Linked DNA regions of Drosophila melanogaster. The gene in region 2 interacts genetically with the main gene of each other region. Each region holds a gene or a part of one and is shown on either strand. Other genes may lie near its edges.

The links.
Region 1: of sky (region 2) and Vps39, changing one suppresses a phenotype caused by changing the other (phenotypic suppression), as found in Drosophila melanogaster (one study listed by BioGRID).
Region 3: of sky (region 2) and Rab5, changing one enhances a phenotype caused by changing the other (phenotypic enhancement), as found in Drosophila melanogaster (one study listed by BioGRID).
Region 4: of sky (region 2) and Rab7, changing one suppresses a phenotype caused by changing the other (phenotypic suppression), as found in Drosophila melanogaster (one study listed by BioGRID).

What each region holds. Positions count from the first base shown.
Region 1 is NT_033777.3:18,270,659-18,276,328, forward strand, and holds Vps39 (vacuolar protein sorting 39), read right to left. Parts: upstream 3,789-5,670; 5' UTR 3,696-3,788; coding exon 3,626-3,695; intron 3,574-3,625; coding exon 3,101-3,573; intron 3,040-3,100; coding exon 2,790-3,039; intron 2,732-2,789; coding exon 2,484-2,731; intron 2,429-2,483; coding exon 1,545-2,428; intron 1,491-1,544; coding exon 1,088-1,490; intron 1,025-1,087; coding exon 722-1,024; 3' UTR 531-721; downstream 1-530. Other genes in the region: CG18599 (uncharacterized protein), read left to right, coding at 1-443; eIF1A (eukaryotic translation initiation factor 1A), read left to right, coding at 4,280-4,483. UniProt on the Drosophila melanogaster protein: Part of the homotypic fusion and vacuole protein sorting (HOPS) tethering complex involved in endo-lysosomal vesicle trafficking and lysosome biogenesis.
Region 2 is NT_033779.5:20,915,875-20,920,494, forward strand, and holds the start of sky (skywalker), read right to left. Parts: upstream 3,058-4,620; 5' UTR 2,925-3,057; exon of another isoform or gene 2,765-2,924; intron 1,588-2,764; exon of another isoform or gene 1,269-1,587; 5' UTR 1,031-1,268; intron 1-1,030. Other genes in the region: Mtp (microsomal triacylglycerol transfer protein), read right to left, coding at 3,365-3,518, 3,577-3,744, 3,812-4,352, 4,412-4,620. UniProt on the Drosophila melanogaster protein: GTPase-activating protein (GAP) for Rab35 which regulates synaptic vesicle (SV) protein recycling and turnover at the neuromuscular junction boutons and possibly ventral nerve cord via endosomal trafficking.
Region 3 is NT_033779.5:2,359,200-2,367,096, forward strand, and holds Rab5 (Rab5), read right to left. Parts: upstream 6,075-7,897; 5' UTR 5,862-6,074; intron 5,756-5,861; exon of another isoform or gene 5,638-5,755; intron 5,523-5,637; exon of another isoform or gene 5,114-5,522; intron 4,306-5,113; exon of another isoform or gene 4,206-4,305; intron 3,583-4,205; exon of another isoform or gene 3,476-3,582; intron 2,657-3,475; exon of another isoform or gene 2,540-2,656; intron 2,387-2,539; 5' UTR 2,230-2,386; coding exon 1,961-2,229; intron 1,894-1,960; coding exon 1,773-1,893; intron 1,603-1,772; coding exon 1,434-1,602; intron 1,371-1,433; coding exon 1,270-1,370; 3' UTR 1,257-1,269; intron 1,195-1,256; 3' UTR 367-1,194; downstream 1-366. Other genes in the region: Axud1 (AXIN1 up-regulated 1), read left to right, coding at 7,122-7,897.
Region 4 is NT_033777.3:23,991,073-23,995,969, reverse strand, and holds Rab7 (Rab7), read right to left. Parts: upstream 2,963-4,897; 5' UTR 2,830-2,962; intron 2,792-2,829; exon of another isoform or gene 2,694-2,791; intron 2,238-2,693; exon of another isoform or gene 2,151-2,237; intron 2,025-2,150; 5' UTR 1,969-2,024; coding exon 1,789-1,968; intron 1,725-1,788; coding exon 1,368-1,724; intron 1,307-1,367; coding exon 1,220-1,306; 3' UTR 518-1,219; downstream 1-517. Other genes in the region: CG33108 (uncharacterized protein), read right to left, coding at 4-234; Epp (ecdysteroid phosphate phosphatase), read left to right, coding at 3,174-3,286, 3,432-3,672, 3,728-3,923, 4,095-4,196, 4,715-4,884. UniProt on the Drosophila melanogaster protein: Small GTPase which cycles between active GTP-bound and inactive GDP-bound states. In its active state, binds to a variety of effector proteins playing a key role in the regulation of endo-lysosomal trafficking.

The DNA.
Region 1 (5,670 bases), on a different chromosome or scaffold from region 2:
AGTGCCTGGAGGCGGAGTTCGAGCGCCAGCAGTACATGGTCGGCCCGGAGCGGCTCTACTTGGCACACACCCTAAAGTTAACGGAGGCTCAGGTGAAGGTGTGGTTCCAGAATAGGCGGATCAAGTGGCGCAAGCACCACTTGGAACTGACACAACAACGGCTGGCATTGATAAGGCAAACTCAACTGCCAGGTACATCGTTATTGGGCAATCAAGTATCCGTGTCGGCCAATGCGGCCCATTCTGTGTCCACGGAACGCACAAACGGATGCAGTGCAGCCTCGCCCAGCCTGCAGGAGGAGGACAACGAGGATAGCAAGCACTCGCTGTCGCTTTCGGGCGCATTACCGCCGTTGAGTCGAGCGCAGTCCGAGTCGGATTTGTCCATCTGTAACGATTCCCTGGACGGCGACAGCCTCATGGACGGCAGCGAGGAGGCCTAAAAACCACGCCAGTGCAAAGCAAGTTTCCTGTAAATATAGTCAAATAAATATGTACAATATCGGTTTTCTATACTTCTGCTTGTCTTTAATTGTTGATGATTAGCTGCAAGTTGATTGTTACAATCAATCAATGCAAACTATATTATATTGTATAAGCATTGCAGTATATCCATTACATACGAGTACTGAAAAAGCTTATTTAAAAACAGAATAATACAGACATTTACACTCAATTCGCACTTTATACCTTGATCAGTTATCACATTGGAGTATTTCACTTATTGCTGAGCAGCCGCCCTGGCGAGCCGATCGTGGCAGGATAGGTGCACGATGTGCCCATTTGGATAGCGCACGAAGGCGGACTGGGTTTGAAAACGCTTCTTGCACTCGGAACACACACTAGACTCGTTTAACTCGAAGCTAATGTTTCGCTGCTCCTCCAAGGCATTCTCCAGGCGCGTGGACTCTGCCTCCAGGAAGCCGCACATCATCTGCATCTCGTGCTTGTCGGCCATCATTTTACGTATAGATTTCTCCAAGTATTTCTCCAGCTGGGGCATGGGCATGTCATCGGGAAGGTGCTGCAAAATCCAAAATGGTTGAGAAATATTTCTAATAAGTCATGCATTCAATGCATTCTTCACCTCGAAGATCTCGAATGGATCGATTCTGGTGGCGTGGGTGTTAAGTATTTCCAGGGCCACCTCTCGATTCACTTGCGAGAAATCCGGATGCAAGGGCACACCATCATAGAGCGGTTGAGTTGGTGGTATTAATATGCACTTAATGAGCGTGTGAAATATGTGCTTGTCCTCTTTGTAATGGGCTTCCGCATAGGCCGTTGCCTTGGCCACATCTCCGAGAACATGAATATAGATGGACAGGACGTTGTCGTGCTTTTTGAGCCTGCCCAGGATTAGGGCACGCTCCTCCAAGAGTATATTGGTTGGAAATTCCTCTAGGAGGCGATCCGGCGAATAGTCGTTGGACTCCTCCAACATCTTGTAGAGCTTGGCTCGCATCGGAATGAGTTCGGGAACTTCCTCTCTAGAAAACAGGTGAGTATAAGCATTTTGATCCAGTACAATGACAGACTCTCACCCTTTTTCCTGCTGAGCAAGAAGCCGTTGCACCTTTTCGCGATACTGCTTGAGGAGCACATTGTGGAGCAGGGTGTTGCCGTCCTTCCATTCAGTGATTACGTGCTCCAAATAGGGAATGACAAGTGCTTTGTGCTTGCTAATAAAAAAATCAAGAACTTTGGCGCGCGGCAGGGATTCCACTTCAATAAGTTCGTCGGTGAAAATGGTTAGGCCTTCCTCGGGATTATCGTTTAAGACCCAGTCAGCGAACTCAAAGATCAGCGGCAGATGATCACCACCCAGCTCCTGAAGATAGCGTATGGTACGCTTGCGACCCTGCAGCACAGATCCTTCGATGCTCGCCTGCTCTCGAAGCAGTTTAAGGGCCTCCTTGTGCTTGCCCTTCATCTGGTAGAGGATGATAAGTTCAGAGATCTTGTTGTGCTTCTTCAACGTCTTTTCCGACTCCTCTAAGTGGCACTGGTTTAGGCGTAGCAGTGGTGCCACCAGAGAGTCGTTTGTCTGCAGGTAACACTTCAGCAACGTTGTATCGATGATCTCCAGCAGGGACTTTGAACTACTTTTAGTGTCGCGCAGCTTGACCACCTCCCGCTGTCGGGCCCATGCCAGATACTCGATCAGTGCCAAGTAGGCGTTCTCCAGGTCGCTATCCTCAAGCGCCGGAGTACTGGACGTAGGCACGGTGACATCTTCGGTGCCGGGCTTTGGTTCTGGCACCAAGTTTGGGAACAGTCTTATCACATCGTAGGGATCTATAGCCGCCTTTTCAAACTCCTTCATGGCCGCCGAGAACTCCTTATTGGTAAACAGCTCTTTCGCATAGAGCATGTGTATCTGGCGAATGGTTTGGGCTCGGTCCGCGGCAGGTTCATCGGAGATTTGCTGAACATAAAGTTTGTTGTAGTCGTCGTATTTTGATTTCGTTTATCGGACTCACCGTCAGCTCAATAGCCAGTTGGAATTTCTTTTGCTGTAGCAACTGCTGACGCTGGATAGGGATTTCCACCATTCGAATGCACCAAAGCTCGGAGGTGGCGGCGGCAAAGATGGTTCCCTTGTCGGCGTGAACCAGGAATTTCGTCTTCTGTAGCTCGGGAATGGTCTGGACCAGGGTGTCCTTGCCCACTAGGCTGCGCACCTCGATGGCGTTGTTGACACGACCCACAGCGAATGGCTCATCCCAGACTGTAATGAAGATAATGTGATTTAGAAATTGGCTTGAAGTGAATAGTGAGTATCGTACCCAGATCTAAAAGCGGACTTGACCAGAGCAGAGGAGTTAGGGAACTATTGCTGTCCATGGCAGCTGGCCGGACATCTGTTGAGTTATTGATTCCATCCGATTCTTTGTACTGACTCGGATCTACTACGACGAGGTAGCTGTCCTTAGAGATGCCCAACATGTTGTTCCGGATAAGGCAAATGCAGGGATCTCTGCTGATACTAGAGGAGGTAAGGAAGAGGTTGTGCTTCTTTGGTGCTTTTCCTGATATCTAGAATTGGATATGCAGACCTTTAAAATACGAAGTAAATCGACTTTAAAGCATTTCTCACATCGTAAACAACATATTCGTCTTTGAAGCCCACGCAGACAGCATGGCCCACCCAGCACAGTGTCCTGGGCACATCGCTGAGCTCGATGATCAATTCCAGGGAATTAAGCTTGTCCTCCTTCCAAAAGAAGAACACAAGACGCCGCCGGATAGCGCAGCACACCCGTATGACGGTGGCCACACGTCCGGTTGTGGACTTCGGCGTGTCCACGTCCATGGTGAACAGGGTGCATCCCTTCGTGTCGGGCGCACTGTGCATGAAAGCGAAGTTGCTCTCAATCCGCCGAATGTCGCACACCTGCACCTGTAAGTCGGTGAGTACGAAGAGCAGGTTCTCCGAGGCAATCACTTCCATTTGGGTGATCGGTTTCCGGCTGAAGTTCTTGTTGAACATCCGCATGTCCACGCCCGTCTCCTCGTCCACAGAGTACATGATCAGCTGTCCGCTGCGGGTGCCCAAGATGACATGGTTGCCTGAAAAAATGCGTCCGGTGAGTAATAGCTGTGCACCGAAAATTCCACTCACCATATGCCGCAATTGACTCTATCTGCACGCCCTGTTTCAGGATCGAGTGAACACTGTAGGCCTGGTGCATCTTGGCCAAGTGGAAAAACTTCGGTCTCCTCCGCCTCAATTTATTTTCGTAAAAAAGCTTATAAACAAACCAGATGGGAGTACCACTAATGATAGCTGATGATGATAGATATCGATAGCTTTAGCGGTGGTAAATCGATTTCTTCCTCTTATGGTGATAGCGAAATAACTTAAATATACAAAGTAGAAAATAAAATTTGTACATGTTATAATTTAAGATTCAATCGCTAATGACTAAAAAGTTGAGTGAAATTTTAAATTACGATACTTTAAACGAATGCTGCCAGACTCTGCATTGCTGTCGATAGCACCAGTTCGATATACTGGTTCCCCGCGAAACCGTCCACCTCTAGTCCTTTTCACTTTAGCGAGGCGAAATTGTCACATTTACATTTGACAAAATTGTAAGTTTTGAAACAACTCTGTCGCTTTATTTCGGGTTGAATGTTTTCATTGCATTACTACCCACCCAGTGAAGTCGTTGAGTAACAGTTTTACCCCGTTCCCGCTCCAGGGTCGCCAACAAGCCCGCAGACAGCAACAACATCGAAAGTAGCTGCACAGCAACAACAGCAAACAGCCAAAATGCCCAAGAATAAAGGAAAAGGAGGCAAGAATCGTCGTCGTGGTAAGAACGAGAACGAGTTCGAGAAGCGTGAGCTGATCTTCAAGGAGGACCAACAGGAGTACGCGCAGGTGACCAAGATGCTGGGCAACGGTCGTCTGGAGGCAATGTGCTTTGATGGCGTCAAACGCCTGTGTCACATTCGGGGGAAACTTCGCAAGAAGGTGAGTGCTGCTCTGACTACGCTCTTTGTTTCGCCTGTGCTCTCTTCGCTTGCGTTGAGTGGGTGCCCCTCTCTAAGGTGGCTCTCTTAAGCCATTTTGGCATTGATTGCCAGCGAATGCTACGTATTTACGTTATTGTTTTTGTTGAAATGCAGGCAGTTTTTGTGATTTTGGGGGATTTTGCATTACCCTGCTAACTTTCGACCTTTCTATACCTAATTTTCAACTCTCTTTTTCTGCAATTCTCTTTTACTGGTCCATTATTGAGTGGGTGTCATCGTCCTTGTGCGAATGCATTAACAAAAGAGCAGTGGGCGGTGTGGACGGGGCGGCTGATTAATAATACGCAAGTGCCTATGCACTGATGTATGTATGTAGATGAAAGCAAAGCAATAGCACTGCAAATACAGGGTGACCGCCGATACTTAATTCTTTCAAATAATTCGATTTGAAATGTAAAAAGGCGTAATACTTAAAATAAGTACTATTCTGTCGAGGTTATAGTCAATTTCACTTTACTGTCTACTTAAAACCATATGAAATTTAATTTTATTGATACAATATATATCATTTTAAACAATAGAAGTATGATATATCATATAAGTATATATATATATATCATAAGAAGTATGATATATATAGTCAGTTTTCACTTCAGCGATTCTGAAACTAAGCTAGTGAAAAAGTTTTGCTACGCACTTTTTTTTTCAATTTTTTCATGGTAGTACACCTTACGCAAAATTTTGCGTATATCTTTTGCATTTGAATTAGCTATTCAGTTACATGTTTTCAATTGCGAATACAGCCTCCTTTATAGCACTAATTTGGGTGGTCAAACTGCATTCCATGAAATACCATACGTCCGCAATGGTAGTTCCTCCTTATCACCTACCTGAGTTAGCCCTGGTCGTGGTCACGGTCGTCCATATAGAGATTAGATCGTTTCTTCCGAAGGGAATGAGCACATGTCAAATTTTGGATTGTGCTTCACGCCGCAGGAGACGGGCGTCATAAATAAGATTCCATCCAAATCGACTGCGTCAAGATTCGCGGCGTAATTAGTGACGTCTTCGATTTCTAGTAGGTGTCAAGTAAATATACAATACCAGAAGTGGACTCCAATCGGAGCGAACAAATCAGACATGAAGTTATAAAGGAAACTACGCAACCAAAAAGATTCCAGACTC
Region 2 (4,620 bases):
GCCAGTCAAATGGATTTAGATAGATAGTTAGTTATGCGCAAGTACCTGGCTCATGTTTTGCCGATTTAGTGTTCCTTTATGCGGCTCTCTGGCCCGCAGATAAGATAACCAAGCAGAGAAATTTAATTTTTGGCAAATGTTTGCTGATTGCATTGCCTTTTCGTTGAAACTCAGCCAGCAGGACTGTATTTATAGTTATAGATTAAACAAATTATATGACCCAATGAGGAATATTTATCGCTTAAACAAATGTTTGAAGTACAAACAGAGTTATAATTAATAACTCCAAAGGTCGTCTATTTTGCAATCGGAGATTGCCAAACCCAAAAAATATTTATCTATTGATGAGTCATGATTAGGAAGATATAAGACATAAAATGTTTATTTGGGGGAAATACGGAAGGGGTTTTTTGAAGTTACACATTTGTAGCTGTTGAACTTGTGCATAAGTCCACATAAATTCCAAACTAAAGTATAAAATCACTACATATACCATAAATTTATATTAAACTTATAATAAACTTATATTTAGGCTATAAACATAAAATATGGGACAAAAAAAAAGCCAACGACCAACATAATCCACCGTAAATTTAAGAACAAAACGGAACTCGCTTTTTACAACATTTTTAATGCCTAACTAAACAGCATTAAAAAGTTGAACTTCTTTCTCGCTATCAACATGGAATAACGTGGTTTGCTGCCGTCATAAATTGTGCAAGGTTGAACGAAAAATAACGTCTATCTAATCAGTTATGTAGGTATAAAGAGCACATGAAAGTTAAAAAACGGCATTTTAAGACTTATACAATTTTGTTGGATCTCAGCAAAAACAAATTTGAATAAAATGTATGATCACAATGAATCACAAAGAACAATCATATCATGATTGAACCCTTTAGTCCACGTGAATTGCAATTTATTATCAAAATAACAAATGAATCATAGAAATGGTGATAGTGCAACTAAATTCGAAATTCTCTTGGGTAGAGAGCGATAAAAAAAGGGATGGGAGAGTGACTGCTATTACCTGTCAATATCTGATGTTTTTGTTCTTGTTTTCCTTGCCCTTCTTCGTTGGTTATTTTTACTTTTTTTCTGTGTTCTTGTTCCGTTCTCTTTTTTCTGATTTGCTGCACTTGTTCTTTTTCTTATCCTCCTTCGTTGTTTTTATGCACTCGTTTTTTGTTTTGCTTGCTTCGTCCGTTTTATCGTGTTGTCACGTTTTCACTTTCACAGGTAAATTCTAAAGGAGCAAGATATATATTCTCTTTCCCATTTTATTACTCTGCCCAAGGGGGCGTGGCCGGGGAGGCGAAGGGCACTATTTGGCCTTTACACACACACTCACGCACGCACACAGAGGAGAGTGAAAAAGCGAGATGGATAAATAAACTACCTTAAAAGATGGATTTTCTAGTTTCCGAAATTCGCGTATTTCGTATATTTAAAGTGGTTTAACTATTTTCGCCCTACATCCATTTTTTTTTATATATATTTTTTATATTCTTTTTTTTATGTTTGTTTCAGCGGGAACCGAAAACACAAGCAGCGCGGTCGAAAAATTATCGGGCAATACGAAAGAGCGCCTTTTGCGGGTTGCTTAAATAGACTTTCGTTTGCTGCTTCGGTTGCGAACCTCTCGTCGTTGCTCGCTCTCCAACGTTTGACGAACAGTGGGATTAATGTGCAGTGGTATGCATGAAATACTGTTTTTTTTTTTTAGTTATTATTGTTTATTGTTTAGGAACAATTTACAAAATCTCATTATTAAAAAACTAAAGAATAATAAAATCATGATTTTATCAAGCTAATTCCAACTTTACTAAAACATAACATAACAACAATTTAGTGTATTTATATCAGTGAATTCGGATTTTTCACACAAAAAATCCTGTTTTAAGCACTGAAATAATGGCAGAAAGGATTAAGAACTTTCCCACTGTGCGGTTGGATGTCGGACGAGTGAGACTTAAAGAAGTTTGAGAGAGCATCACCCAAACCATACAAGTAAAAAACTAATGTTAGCAAATGAATTTATACATATTTTTGCAAATAAACCAACTTTTGAAATACACAAAATTATTATGAATGGAAATTTCTTTAAAGCCAAACAAAATTTTCACAATGCCGATAAGCAGGGTGCGTGATACCGTTATAAAAAGTGGGAGAATAGGGAGAGAGCAGCAAGTGCGCAAGTGTGTGTGGTAAAAAGGTACCCCTATCACAATGCAGTTCACAAAAATAGTCACCATCTGTGCCCCTGGTTTTGGATATTCTAGATCTTTCTTCAATATACATATTTCAGATTTCAGATCTCGTTTTTTATTTATTTATGATTCTTAATGCTTTCGTACGGAGTAGTAATTTGCGTTAAAATGTTGTGCCAATAAGATGCCAAGGCAAACGCCTCTTACAGATTGTTTTCTTAAAAAGTGATAACAATTCAGCAGAATAAATTACAAAAATTGCAGAACATTTCACACGTGGTTTTTTTGGTATTGCAACTTCACGCAACAGAAATTCCCGAACACGCACACATGAGCACAAACAGAACACGTCAACAACAACAATTCTTCTTCTTTCCCATCTCTTTCTCGCTCCAATTGTGTTTGTATGAGTTTAAAAGGCAAGGGAATTGTTAATTTTAGTACATTGCTTAGCACTTGATTTAAACGCGCAAATTGGTGACACAAATATCGATTTATTAAGTTTGAACTATTTAATTTGTCGCGCCTTTCAGCTTGCAAATAGAAGTATTTACTTTAGACAATCGGATGACGCTTTTGATTTCGCATTTGTTTGCGACTGTGTGTGTGCGACGAGCCTTCTAATTCCGACAAAAAGAAGAAGAGCACCATTCGGTGGCCTAATTTGTTTCACTTCTCCGGAATCAAGCTTTTCCGATGCCTGCTTCTATTAACCTTTATTTAATATGACTCGTGCGTTCGACGATATTTTTGCAGTAGTTATTTTCTTTTCGTGCTTGTGGAGTGCACCTCTTTTATGCCGCGTTTGAAGAAGAAGCACAACGTAGTAGTGTTTGAATGTACTGCGGAATTTAGGGATGGGAATGCGTAGCTCTTGCAATCGATAGCTCGATAAGTCCCCTTTCGCGTTTCGCAGCACTTGGGCGGGATTTTTAAATCTAAGGTGTGACTATTGTGAATCGAGAAAAAATGCACATTTCCACTTTTCCAGTAATTTTCGAGTTGCTCAAAAGATATTAAAAACTTGTTGCATTTGAAAATTAAATGGTCTTTGTTCGTTTAAGTTTACAACTATATCGAGTCTTAATCTCTGAGTTTTCACATAGAAATATAGTTTTTATGCAAGGAATCTCCAATAATCTCTTGAGTAGAATCTACAAGTCCCTAAAAATGAGGTTGCACATTTCGTTGTTTTTTTGGTTGAGGGCAAAAGTGCAGCCGGCAGTTTTGTGGGAGAGTGTAGAGCGCACATGTTTGGCATAAGGACGATCAACAGACTGCAGGAAAACCGAACGAACGTTGGTTTGTCTGTGAAGGAGGCTTTCAATTAGCATGTGAGTCATTAAAATAGTTCTAGCAAACTTACTTGAGAAGCTGTTCAGGTCGCTGGAGTTGCATGCACAATTTAATGCCGCTGTAGAAGTCCAAGTCCGCATTCAGACTCAACTTTGGTTCGTGGGTGATGCTGAAATCCTGCACTAATTTCGCATACGTAAAGCCAACGGCCAAATGACCAAGAACAGCGCTGCCAGTGCTATAAGCCAAAAGTTAATCGTGAGTTAAATAACATTCCAATCAAATGCTTTGGCTTTTTCACTTACTTCTGCTGGATTTCCGTCTGGGCATTTCGATTCCACAGGCTGAATCCCACCTTGCCATTGAGATCCACACTCCTGGCGCCCAGAACTCGCCAGTGGAGCGTCGCCCCGGAGGTCAGGATTATGTAGTGCTCGTTATCCTGGGACAAAGTGGTTGCCTGGTAAGCGGGCGTTGAGTCCGAGGCACTTCCTCCCCACACGTGACCCATTAGCTCGGTCTGACCGCTGAAGAATACTAGGGGTCGCAATTGAGCACCCTGCACACTGATCTCCATGCCCGCGGTGACCGCTTCGTCTTCGCTGAACTCATCATCCGCCGGGATTGCATCATTTCCATCGCCGGAGTCACCATCGCCTACCAGCGAGCCCAAGCCGGCAGTGTAGATGCCCAATTTAAAGCTGCTGGCTTGGGAACGGCCTGCGTGGAGCAGAAATTCCACGGAGCCACGTTTCAGGATTCCCTGATACACTTCCTGGGTACTTAGCAGGGTTTCGTTGAAGGCTGGAGCCTGGGAAAGCTGACGGGTGAGGACTGTCGTAAGACCTGTAAGTATTAAAGTTCATAATTGTTTGAACAGTGTCATTAGGAAATTAGGTACTCACCCTTTTGTCCCAGCACATTGTAGTTGTTTACATGCCTCCGCTTGACAAGCTCCGATTTGAACAAAGCCCTAAATCGCGGGCACTTCTCAGCCAGCATTCTTAGCTTCTGCAGCACGTATGTTTTGATCTCAAACTGGCGATCATTGGAGGCTAGGTAATCCAAGAAGTTGCCCAATTGCTCCTGAGTTGGCCGGAGGGACAGGATAATA
Region 3 (7,897 bases), about 19 Mb from region 2:
ATTATAATTTATAAATTTTAAATTTAAATACATACAGACAACATAAAAATTACGAATTGGAAAGAAATATGCATCGGATCTTTGATGTTTGTGGAACGATTTAAACAAGTTGTTTACGGTATTGTGTTGTTCGATTTGTTTTATTTATTTATTTTAATTCACTTTACTTCCTCTCCGCTTAATTGCATACTAGATGTAAGTTTAATTTTTATGGATTACGATAGTATCTCCGTTCTCGTTTACGTTTAAAGATAGTAGCATTAAATCTTCGATTGTTGCTAGAATGTGGAAAATAGTTCAACGCAAGGCGAAATTGAAAAATAAAAAAATCTAAAAGTATGCATAATTGGTTTTCTTTTTTTTTTTGTGGTTTTCGTTTTCCTTCATTTTCATATGTGTATATATAATTTATATAAATTGCAACTATCACACGTGTCCGCCGCGACCCGGAGTCGAATCATCCGCGTCCGTATCCGGATCTGGAGTCCGAGCTCCGGAGCCGTAGAGACACACACATTGCCACAAACCGAGGCGAGCGAGGATCTTCAGCCGCTGGCCTGAACATTTGCTCCTTGTGGTGTTTGTTTGTTTTGTTTGTTTTATTTGGAACGCTGCTGAGAACAACTGCAACTGGAATCTGCCCCTTACTTAATGCTCAGAATCTTACACGACATGTAATCTTTACAAATATTCTTTGCTCGCTTAGTTGGTTTCGGGGTTTCTCTCTTTTTTTTATACAATACGATTTCAAACTTTCTACGACACGATGAAATCTCCAAAAACCCTGCGCTTTCTTCTCATGTTTAGTTTTCATTATTAATTTGCGTTGTTATTTGAAATGGTTTATGTTGGAATTATACTGATATTTTAGCTCAATTGCGTGAGTGTCAGTTTGCTTGTATATTTTTTGGACAGATATCGAGCGTAATGGGGGAAATCGGGTGTGGGAATTTGTAACTAACTTTCTTTAATTGCAACTTTCGTTTATGTTGGGAATGGGAGCTCCTTTGTTTAATGCTTATAATTCTTATGTGGTCTTTATCATTATTGGTTTCGTGGCTCTCAAATGAAATTCGTCCCCTGCGAGAGCCGGCTTTAGGTATTTCTTTCTGATTCTGTTGAATTTTTAAATAATTTTTTTATTTATAATTATCAGCATAAACTTTTCAAATCTCTCGTTGGAAATTTCATTTTCTGTAAAGCCAAAAAAAAACTGTGTTAGTAATGCAACCGTATTTCCAACGCAATTAACTTACCTACGAAGGGACATCACTTGCAGCAGTTGTTCGTCGGTCGATTTGTTTCGGTTCCAGTCGGCCTTATGCTGGTTCCCTGATTGTTGGCGCCATCGTTCTTAGGTAGTTTCTTGGCTGTGGTTGGGGTAGTGATTAGCAAAGTTTTCGAAGCGTTTACGACGGCTCCTTATAGCTTACCAATGGCCAAGAAGATGTCGTTCACATTCATGCCCGTCTTGGCGGAGGTTTCCATGAACAGCAGCCCGTTCTCCTCGGCATATTGCTTCGCTTCATCGAACTCTACGACGCGAATGTTTGACAAATCTGCCTTGTTGCCGGCCAGCGCAATGACAATGTTTGGTGAGGCCTGGAAAAAAGTTTTATTAATACATATTTTATGTAATATAATTTACGTATCAAGTGAACGAATTTCTCGAGTTAAGAATATTGAACTGAGGCACTTCATGAGCAATAATATAAATGATTATAATATTAAAACACTCTGCACGATATTCAAGTTTCCCCGCTGACACTCACTTGTTTATGCAGTTCCTTGACCCAGGTCTTCGCACGCTGAAAACTGTCCTGATTCTGTATATCATAGACGACAATAGCGGCCTGCGCTCCTCGATAATACATGGGAGCTAAGCTGTGGTACCTACAAAAGCGAATATAAGTATGTCAGATGAAGCTTTCAGTTGGGTGATCTATCCAGCGATACTTACCGCTCCTGGCCAGCCGTGTCCCAGATCTCGAACTTAACGACAGTGTCCTCTATGCAAATAGTCTGTGTCAGAAAGGCCGCACCTATCGTGCTCTCCTGGTACTCGTGGAACTGTCCCTTGACGAAGCGCAGCACCAGTGAGGACTTGCCCACAGCGGACTCGCCGAGGAGCACCAACTTGAATTGGCAGCTTTTGTTCTGCGAGGTGCCATTGGGCCGCTGCGCCGTTCCAGTGCCGCTGGCACCGCCGCTGCGTGGAGTGGTTGCCATGATCGGTTCGGGTTGGATCGGATGCGAATGTGGATGCGCTCTTCCTCCTCTGAGATGGCAACTGATATTTGGTTCTACGGACGGTTACTGCAACTCACTCCCTCTTCTGCTGAGTAAGTCTTTCTGCTAAGATTGCTGCTGAGTGTGGATGCGGAATCTGCAAAATACAAATAATGTACATATTTATAATGGAGACGGATAAAAACGAAATTGAGTGCTTCCAATTCTTCTGCCATAATGGTACGTTTTTAGGGCTTAAACTCAGTCCCCTTGAAAACATGCTGCCCATGTGGATGAATATAAAACCCACATAAAACCATCAGATGATTGTGTGGCGCCTTTGTTTGTTTAATGACGCCGTCGACAAGCCCAGTTCAATATGTACATATCCGAGAATATGCACAAAAAGCCGACGTTTTCCATCAGTAAATGAAACAGAGGAAAAGGGAAGCGTCTGCCAATGGTCACTGATAAATTCAATTGAAATTGAAAGCAGTACGCCCTACAAAAACTCACATTAGAGCTTATATTAGTTTATTTATATTTATATTTATAAGTGTTACACATCCGAAAACATATCATTACTATTTGTGTCACTTGGCAACATAATAGTACTGATAAGCTTGTGATAGGAAAATCAGTGAAAGCAATTGTTCCACGATTAGATGTTCAATGTTATGAGTTGTGTTTAGAAAATTCCTTGCGTGACTGCTTCAAACATCCACAAACACAAACATTCTTAATTACATGTGCAAATACAAATCCATCAACAACTAAAAATACTTTGGCAAACACAAAGGGGAAACCTTATATGCGCTTTCTAGGCGCAATTATTGTTTTTCCCTTTCTTCGTGGCAGATAAGGGGTTTACAAGTAATCGAAACTACAACATTCTTATCGGTCCCTTGTGCGGGAAATCTAAGTTATCGTAAAAGATATTTATTGCAGCTCCTCTAGGGGCTACCGCGCAATTGATAATTCACACACTTTCTGGTGGAAAATATTTCGAGGGCGGGTGAATTTGTGTACATATGTGTATAATAGTACATAACACAGAGGACGCCTCGCATTATTCAGCGGTAATGCGTGTGGCATTCACAGTATTTTTGTTATCAGTGCCACTTTTATGAATCATACGCCCCATTGGCCACTACACTTTTACCGATGTCCCACAGATACGTTGATCCCGAAACAAGATATCGTTTTAAACAGAGAGTAATCATTAAAATTGTTTAAAAATATTTACTGTTGCATATATTAACTAAGCTAAAGTCGTTTTCAAATCTTCACAAAGTATCGTTCACATGCTTTTCGTTTTTATGACCGACGACGGGAATCTCAGAATTCCGACAGAAATTAATTAACACATTGAAGCCAGACTGTACAGTGGAGATAAATCTACGAAGATCGGGGTATGGAATTCTACACGAGTCTTGTTTACTTTGTGGAGAGAAGTGAGCGCAGAGCGAAGAGAATTCACAGAGTGAGGGCGGAAGCTGTGATAAAAATCAATGCAAAATAAATTAACGGGGAGACGTGGAGAAAGTAAAAGCGTGACAAACATGTACGCTGTGCGGCGTTATTAAATTAACAAGGAATGAGGGAGAGAGCGAAATATGCAGGCCCTCTCTTTGCCATTAAAAATGCAGTCAGTCAACAATTGTTTGTTTCTCCCCCTCCCTTCCGATCATTCAATTGTTTTTTTCCCGGAGACTTTGGAGCCAAGTGCACAGTCACACACACATACAGAAGCCGACAACTTGGTCTCTCTTTTCGAAAACCGCACTCTCATTGCGATAAAGAAATTTCGCCTACAATTACTTTTCATTATCCAGCGAATGACGTATTTTGCTGTTTTTTGCGTCTAAGCCAAAACGAAAACTGCACTTTAAATTTAATTAAAACAAGCAGTGTGTCTCACTAAGCCAATGCAAAATTTTCCTTGAGAAGCGGACAGCTGTCAGTAAATAACTCACCGCTAATTTTAATTCGAACCGTAATTAATGCGGTTTATTAAACTTTAAAGTCACTTGGACAACAGGAGTGACTTTCGCGCCCGTCTGCGGAAAATTCAATAAAATATAAAACAACGTTCAGGAAATTACGGTTCTTTTAGAACAGCTGACGATGCGTCATTCACGCGACTAATACAAATGCAAGTGAATCAAAAAAGAGAATGAGAGCGAGAACAACAACCATACGTAGCCACAGCCTTTATCAATCAAATAGCTGTAATACGTGGAATTAAGTTACAAATCTTATGTTAGATTTTAAAGATATTTAATATAAATATGAAATAAAGAAGAACGTCCACATAGCTTGTGCTTAATTTTAAGCATGAATTAAGTTTTAAATCCACCTTTGGAAACTTAAAACATTTTCATTATATCAACATGGCCCTATTCACGTGAGCTTGACTGTGGAATTGCCTCACTCGAAAAGTCAACAAGTGCAATTTTCTCAGCACGCATATTTGAAGCACGTCTAGAAAACGGAGAATACAATTAGCGTTATATTTACTGTCACACCACACATCACTCCGTAAATATGTATAGCTTGACAAATGCGGGTCTTCCATTTGCAAAGCGAGCGAAAAGGTCTAGAATAAACAAATAGAAGGATGCGTTTTTGTTTACATTTGGGCTTTATAGAAACATCAGAGACAAAGACAGTTCTTTGAGAAACTTGCACGATAAGGGAACGGATTGCCGATAAATACACACACACCACACACCCACACTCTCTCTCATAACTAAAGACGCAAAACAGGCGGAACAAAGAACCGCGATTTTTGATCCGTTTTGGCGTGTAAAGCGCTGATAAATTGGGTGATAATGCGGGCCAAGATCCGATTTTGCCAGCTTTACTCCATACCAGAGTGCACCTGCAGTGTTCTTTATCTCTTCACAATTAGATTCGTGAACTATCTTAGGCCTTGCGACCCACTGTGCACGCTGCACTTGGAGCAGGTCGTACGGCCGTCTCGCTCTAGCGCCCACTCTCATGGGCAACGCACCCAAAATTCAGGGCCATCTATCGCGCTCGCTCTTACACTCGCACTATGGCGGACGGGGCGAAAAAATTTTACACAACTTTCTTAATTAATTACGAGGGGTGAGCGAAAACAACAACGCAAAAGCACTCGACTTTCCGCCGAATTACGCACTCTTCTAAACGCGGCACTTGGAGACCAGTTGACCATTTGCATTTACGTTTTTTCCTTTCAATTGTGTGCCCCAAAACAGCCCCAAGAAACGAAACGAAACGAGCGCAGAGGGAGATAGATAGCGACTGACTCGCCTCTCGCAAAATTATCGTCGCGTCGCAGGTCGTGTTTTTGTCGATTAACTTCCTGGGCGACGTCACCATTGATTTGCCAAAGATTTTTGTCTTTTTTAGCTTCCTTGCCTTGCTAATGGCTAGCGAAATTATCGCCTGGTTTATTAGTAAACTTAACTTACAACTTTCTTGGAATTTTATGTGTGACCGCAGGACGACTGTTGGAATATGCCAAACATATCCTAAGCTCTGCTCGTTAGCAGAGGCTCCAACCAACGATACATATTTCTATCGATTAGTGGGACCAACATATTACACAATATAAATAAAATTTTAATATAAACATTTCTTACCGTGAATATACAAAACATATTTCTTTGCTGCACGAGTCAACTAATGAATCGTAAAACGGGTATATTTTACATAATAATTGTCTTACTATGAATTTATGTAATCAATGAGCTTGCAGGAACCGGCTCCATTGGTGAATTTGTTTTAATTTTTCTTCTGAATTATTTCTTAGCAAATACACGCACCATCTACTAGTGAGTCACATTTATCTATCACGCTCTATCGTATACACTTTTATCAATTTTTGCCTGGTATTTTTAAGTACATTTGGATCGGTGCAGGACTGTTGTCATGTTGCAGGGGTCCAGCGACGGGCACACTGAATAGAAGAAGTAATAACATTGCGAGAAAAGAAGAAGTGAAAAATTAAGAAAAAGTTTACGGAAGTGCGAAATGAGTTTTAAAAAATAAATCATAATTTTGGGCGTTGCCAGGCGCATAGTAAAGTGATTGTGTTAATAAAAGAATACCGACCTTTGTGTCCTGATTCGCCTCCTTCACGCACACACTCGCACAGACTTGCACAAACACACGCACACAGTTGCGTCTTTCGTCATCTCTCTCGCTCTCAGTTTTTTATCGCAGCTGCAACGCAAATTGCAAAAAGGATAAATCCCACCGATCTTGCGAGTCCGGCCGTTGGCTTGGCTGCGAAAATATAAGCGCAAAGGTGGGCCCCCAAAAAAAGAAGCTAATCAATATTGATTTTGGTTAGCGGTATGTCTACTTTTCGGGTGGTCTCCTTTCTAGCGTGCGAAATTCTCGGGGATCCAGGATTTCAAAGGATTCTGCACACGCACACCCATCCAAGCACAGTGCTCATTCGAAAAAGCGAACATACAAGTGAGCGGAACATTAAAGCGAAAGATATATATTTTTAAACCATTACACGTACACAGAAAACAATTGATTTCTTGCGAGCAGTAAAATTAATACTTGAGCTAAATTAATATTTCTAAATATTTACACAAGTTGTAAAAGGTACACTCATTAGGCTTTTGGCAATTTGTTTGTTGGATCTAGGACCTGGTCAGGGGCTCTTACGAAACGTAAACAGGTGTAATTAATTTACTCAGAAATAAAGTTTCGCATTCCCGGCAGTTCTCCCTCTCGAATGGACACTGTACATACACACCTGATCTATACGTTTTCGCTACCTGCGAAGGAAATTTCCAAGCAACATTATGTAAAACCATTTCCTCCTACTTTCTTGCAGATGACCAAAGGACACTCAATGATCTAGGGACCTCGACACGGATAGCATGTTTAGTCCTATAAAAAAAATATTTACGTACATACAAAAAAATGCGAGCGGCTCCAATATGTTTAGCCCATCAGGAAACAAGGCCGCCGGCCAAAGGGAGGGGACCACCAGCCTAACTGCCCACGACGAAGGCGAAAGGAAGGATCAGCGGCATCTGGATCACAAGGATAATCAGAGCGAACCGGAGGAGCGGCAGCATCAGCTGCAAATATTTCCCCACCTGGACGATGACGACGACGACATCGAGAGGCAGATCAAAACCTCCATAATTGACGCCAGCAAGGTGCACGCAGCGAAAGCCAAGGCGTTGGCTTCCCTACCCATGCCGCTTGAGCAGCTCGATGATGAACTGGCGGACTTTGCTCACGGCCCGGCGGACACCGAACTAGAGGAGCAGTTCCTTGAGCTGGAGAACTATCCTAATAATGAGATAATCGTACTAGGCGATGCGGATCTTAACTCTTCAATAGCTTCCGACGCAGTCTCCGAGGACCCACTGGCAATTGACAACATTCTTGACTCCGCGTCGGTCACCACAAACGAGGAGGTCGACACCAGTGGAGAACTTCTTTGGCTGAAGTTGAACAATGAGACGGAAATGGCCACCAGATCAGCGGAGGTGGTGTCCAACAACCAAGCATCATTGGAGCCTGCCCAGCCAGCCAAACCGAAAGAGGATGAGCTTAGAGATGGTGGGTCTGATTCTGGTTTAGGAAGTGAAACCTCCGCGTTACTCAAGGATCAGGCGGAGAAAGAAGCCGAGCCGGAAATCCA
Region 4 (4,897 bases), on a different chromosome or scaffold from region 2:
CACCTGCACTATGCTGTTTACGGAGTAGTATTGACAGTGTTTCGGTGGTGTATATTGGCAGACGCGACTTAAATAGCATCCTTTCTGCACCTCAGGATACTCACATGCCCAAGTGCACTCATCGGTGGTTATATTGTCCCCAACTGGACGTTCCTTTGTGGTAGCAGGTGTGCTAGGAGTGACTATCATGGGTGGTGGGGGAGGAGGTGGTGCCACACTTGAAATATTCGACATGGTATTTAGTTAAATAAATAGACTAAGCGAGTTAACAGACAATAGCCACAGCTGTTTTCGCAGACAAATATTAACAGGGCTGAGTTATCGATAAGCGATATTCTGTGTTCACCTGGTTGCATCTGTTCTACAGTGGGCACAAAGTAAATTAAGCCCACATAAAAATATCAAAATAAGCTTATTTGACTTTTATTGTAAATTGTTCAAGTTTATTCTTTAAATTAAACCAAAGAGCATGAGAATTCATAAAATGAATCTTTGGAAAAAAATAAATTCGAAATATACACAATTTACATATATGTATTACCAAAAACAAGGAGCAATTTTACATGGAATACTATTCATAGTTATAGGATATATCGAGTAACGTTATAACTAAACCAAATTCACGCTCGAATGTTATGCATAAAGAAGTTTTGTGGAGCTCAGCCAATTACAATAGAGTAGCCAATTCGATGGTGCAGGAAATTATGTCTGTAAATTACATTTAAAAAGTTATTCTTTTATTAAATTTACAATCACAAGATTTTTTGTTTGTTTAGAAGATACTCTGATGTTGTATTCTCAATGTTGCTGTTCTGTTGCAAAAGCCAGCAGCGGTTGCGTGCAAAATTTGACTAATACAATGGCAAAAATAGTACTAGGGAGATAGGCGGGCGGTCGGTCAGAAACATGAATTATTAAATACGAGTACACAGAGCATACTTATTCATTGAACGGTTACTTAGGTCGTAGGAAAGTGGGTATACTGGTTAAGCCTTTGCCAGAGGCTCGTTAAGACTCAGCTGATGTTGATCTGAATCTGAACTTTGCATCCTATCAGTTAATTAATTACTATGCTGTTTTGCTGAAATTGTTTTACTTAATCATATAACACCTTCCTCTATCGTCCTTTGTGTTGCTTGCTTCTCATGTTCATTATTATGTTGGAAATATTATTTAATAATATAGATTGTGTAATTATCCATTTTGCGTTGTTGTTACATTAGCACTGACAGTTGTCAGGATTGCCAGGACGATTGTTTTGCGAGCCCAAGGTAATCTGATCGGGGAAATCGTTGATAACTTCAGCCTGTGTGAAAGTACAAAGTTCGATTTAGTATGGAAAACAATATTTAAATAGGATTTCTTACCTCCGCCTCCAACTCTAACGCATTCTTGGCTATAACTTGAAACGCCATCTCCACGTTGATGCCCTCCTTGGCGGACGTTTCGTAGTAGGGTATATCGTTCTTAGATTGGCACCATTGCTGCGCTCGACGCGTGGACACCTGGCGGTTGTCCAAATCCACCTTATTGCCCAACACAACGAAGGGGAAGTGATCGGGATCCCGTGGACTGGCCTGTATGAGGAACTCGTCGCGCCAGGAGTCGAGATTCTTGAACGAGTTGGGCGCCGTCACATCGTAGACAAGCACGCAGCAGTCGGCTCCGCGGTAAAACGCCACTCCAAGCGACTGGAAGCGTTCCTGACCAGCAGTGTCCCAGATCTGTTATTGAAATTTTGCGAGTTATGTCACTGAAATAGGATTACTGGAAGTTCATAGTGCTTACCTGCATTGTGACCACTCGGTCGTTGACCACCACCTCTTTCGTGCAGAAATCAGCTCCGATCGTGGCTTTGTATTGGTTGGAGAAGCGTTTGTTTACATACTGATTCATCAGAGAGGTCTTGCCCACACTGCTGTCGCCCAGAATGATGACTTTCAGTAGGGATTTCTTACGTCCGGACATTTCGATGCAGTTTGTGGCGTTGGCTTACTCGGGGTTATTTCTTTTGGTATTTGGTGCTGAAAACCACAGAATATTATTGATTGTGTGTTAAAAATACCATTGCGGTTTCCTCTAATTCGATTAGGAAGTGTAGGGGTGTGATGGTTTCTTTCCTAAGATAAATGAAAGTGAACTGCGCAAACCTCTAGAGTCTAAACTACATGCCAATGAAAGCCGTAATCTCTGCCAGGACCTGACTGCCTAAGTGCTCGAAGTGCAAGCCATTCGCAGCTGTAAAATGTTTGTAATGACGAGCAGTTGTGCTACGCCGTGCTGGGTGATAAACAAATCGGGTGAGTCACTCTGAGCAATCCGCAGTGTGTGATCGCTGGACTGTGTGAACAGGCGGTCAGTAGGGGAGGGAGGTGCCCGCATCGAGGCGATAAAGCGTGATCACTATTGGCGCAGCGGAGAAAGTGCGCTGAGTACAGACAAAGACGAGGTCGAGCTAATAAAGCGGGTCTGGAATACCAGGAAAAGTGCCTGGGAAAACGCCCATTTCCTCAAAGTCCTCGATGGCAGGGGGAGTCACTATGGTGCAATCGAAAATAGTGCGAAAGTGGACTCTCCAAAGGGAGATAAACTCCCCGCCCCCCTTTTTTAGACCATGAACAACTTGTTTTTGTGCTCCACCATTACAACTACGCCACTAATTGCGTCGGTGTGCGTGGGTCTTTGTTGTGTACGTTTTTCGAGTGTGCGTGTGTATGTTTGATGTGGGGCTCCACTGGCATTTTCCATGCACTTTTCGCCTGCTGCGTAACACTCTTTTTAACGCTTTGCTTTTGCTATTCGCCTAATTCCTTTTGTAGTGGCACTCACTTTGAACACTGGTGAACACTCCAAGAGCTGTTTCTTTGTGGGGCGCTTCGGTTTTACTAAAAAATATTCAATTAATTACGCAGTGAATTTTGTTGTTGTCTCGCTAGGAGAATCGCTCTCATCTCTACTGGTCAGTACTGGTTATCGATAGTGCAGTCGTGTTACAGCTATCGGTAGAAGTTGACTATCTTTAGGCTGTCGTTAGCCAACACTTTTTTGTGGCCAATTAACGAATTGTATCCTATTTTTGTTGAAATTATCACTGAAAAATATTGAACAGCCAGGAAAAACCAAAAGCTGCTAAACGGTGGTCACCTGGGCTTACATAGGAGGCTATAATCGAAATGGCCACGCTTCCGCCGCGTAAGAGTCAGACCCCTACGAGGATCTGCATCTCTAAGCAGCATCTGACGCCGCTCCAAACATTGCTCCAAATGGGGTTTCCCAGGCATAGAGCGTGAGTTTTCTATGCATAGCGTATTGGCAGTCACCAGCTGCTCTAGGTTCCATCCAAGATATAGTGGCTATGCGTGCGAGTGACCCACTATGTTGATTTGTTTCATAGAATCAGAGTATTGATTTTTTTGCTTACCCCTACACAGGGAGAAAGCTTTGGCTTCAACTGGTAATCGTGGTGTCCAGATTGCCTCGGATTGGTTGCTGGCACATGTCAACGATGGCACCCTGGACGAGTGCGCCCCCAGGGAATATATTATATATGCTTGTCCCACGGGTCCGTTTCTGCAGCAGCTGGAGGAGTTCTGGGCCAAGTCGCGCCAAATGTGCGGTTGGAATGGAGCACACAACTACGTGCCTCACATAACCCTGGTTTCGTTTTTTAAAGTGAGCTTAAGTTGGATTATCCAGACTTTATTTATTCACCTAATCGAAATTACAGGCCCCCGATGAGTGCTCGCTGCAGCTGTCCAAGGCGCTCAAACAGGTGGTGGACATGACGGGCGCCTTGTTGGATCGCCCCCTTAAACTGGAGCCCTACATGAGTCAAAACTTCATGGGTTTTTTCGTGGCCGAGGAGGATGCCAACTATCTGAAACGACTGGCCCTGCAGTACGTGAAGGAGGTGTCCAACTCAAGTACGAATTATCCTTCTGTTGGTTGCACTCTCTTTGGGTTGTTTTGGTTTACCTTTCTCACGTTCTGTTCGATTCGGTTGATGGTTTTCCATTTTTCGGAGTGGCTTACACGGTTATGTTGTTCTCCTCTCTTCCTGCACACTTCTGGATAATCTGGGATATGCTGCACAGTCATTAGCGATACCTATGAGCAGTTGGACGCCATTGTGGCCTGCTTTCCCTGGTGCGGTGCTGTCTCCTCGGGCACCCGCTGCATTCCGCGCAGCAGTCGATGTAAGCCATTAGCTAGAGCCATTAGTTTGCATAAAATCGTTTTTGATTCACCCAAAAGTACACTTTCTTATCACTCTATGCATGCTTTAGTTGCACTGGTAGATAAGTTACTAATCTAATCGCCCTTTTGGCGAAATTCAACATGACGCTGCTAATTGTAGTTAATTAGTAGTAACTGTAGATAGCAAGGTGATCGATGTTTTTGGTAGCTACATAGTTAATTTGTTTATACCCCGTTTCATTTGTTTGAAAAATATTTCAGTTTATTATTAAAACCGATTAGTGTCACTATATATACAAAAAATCTTTGATTATTAGAAGACCAGAACTGTAGTTGATAAGCCCGTGACGTTTGGTTTTGCCCAAAGATAACTTTAAGTGACTATAATTCCTTATCGAAAAACATCGATTCACCGTGTTAGATACGAAAGCATATAACCAGCACCGCCTTCATTTCCATTCAGTAATCGTTTGTTCCGCCTAGCGAAAGGCTACTAATAGCTTCTAACTACCTGTAGCCATCTCACTCGAGCCACACGTTAAGAGCCTGCACCTGACGCTTGCCTACCAGTTCCCGCAGGCACAGTTTAATGCACTGAAAGCACTCGTGGAGACCTTAGACGCCAGCTGCGCTTCCAATTGGGAACTTCGTCTATATTCCCGCGATCCTCGGCTCGCCACCAAACAAGTTAGAGCTCCTT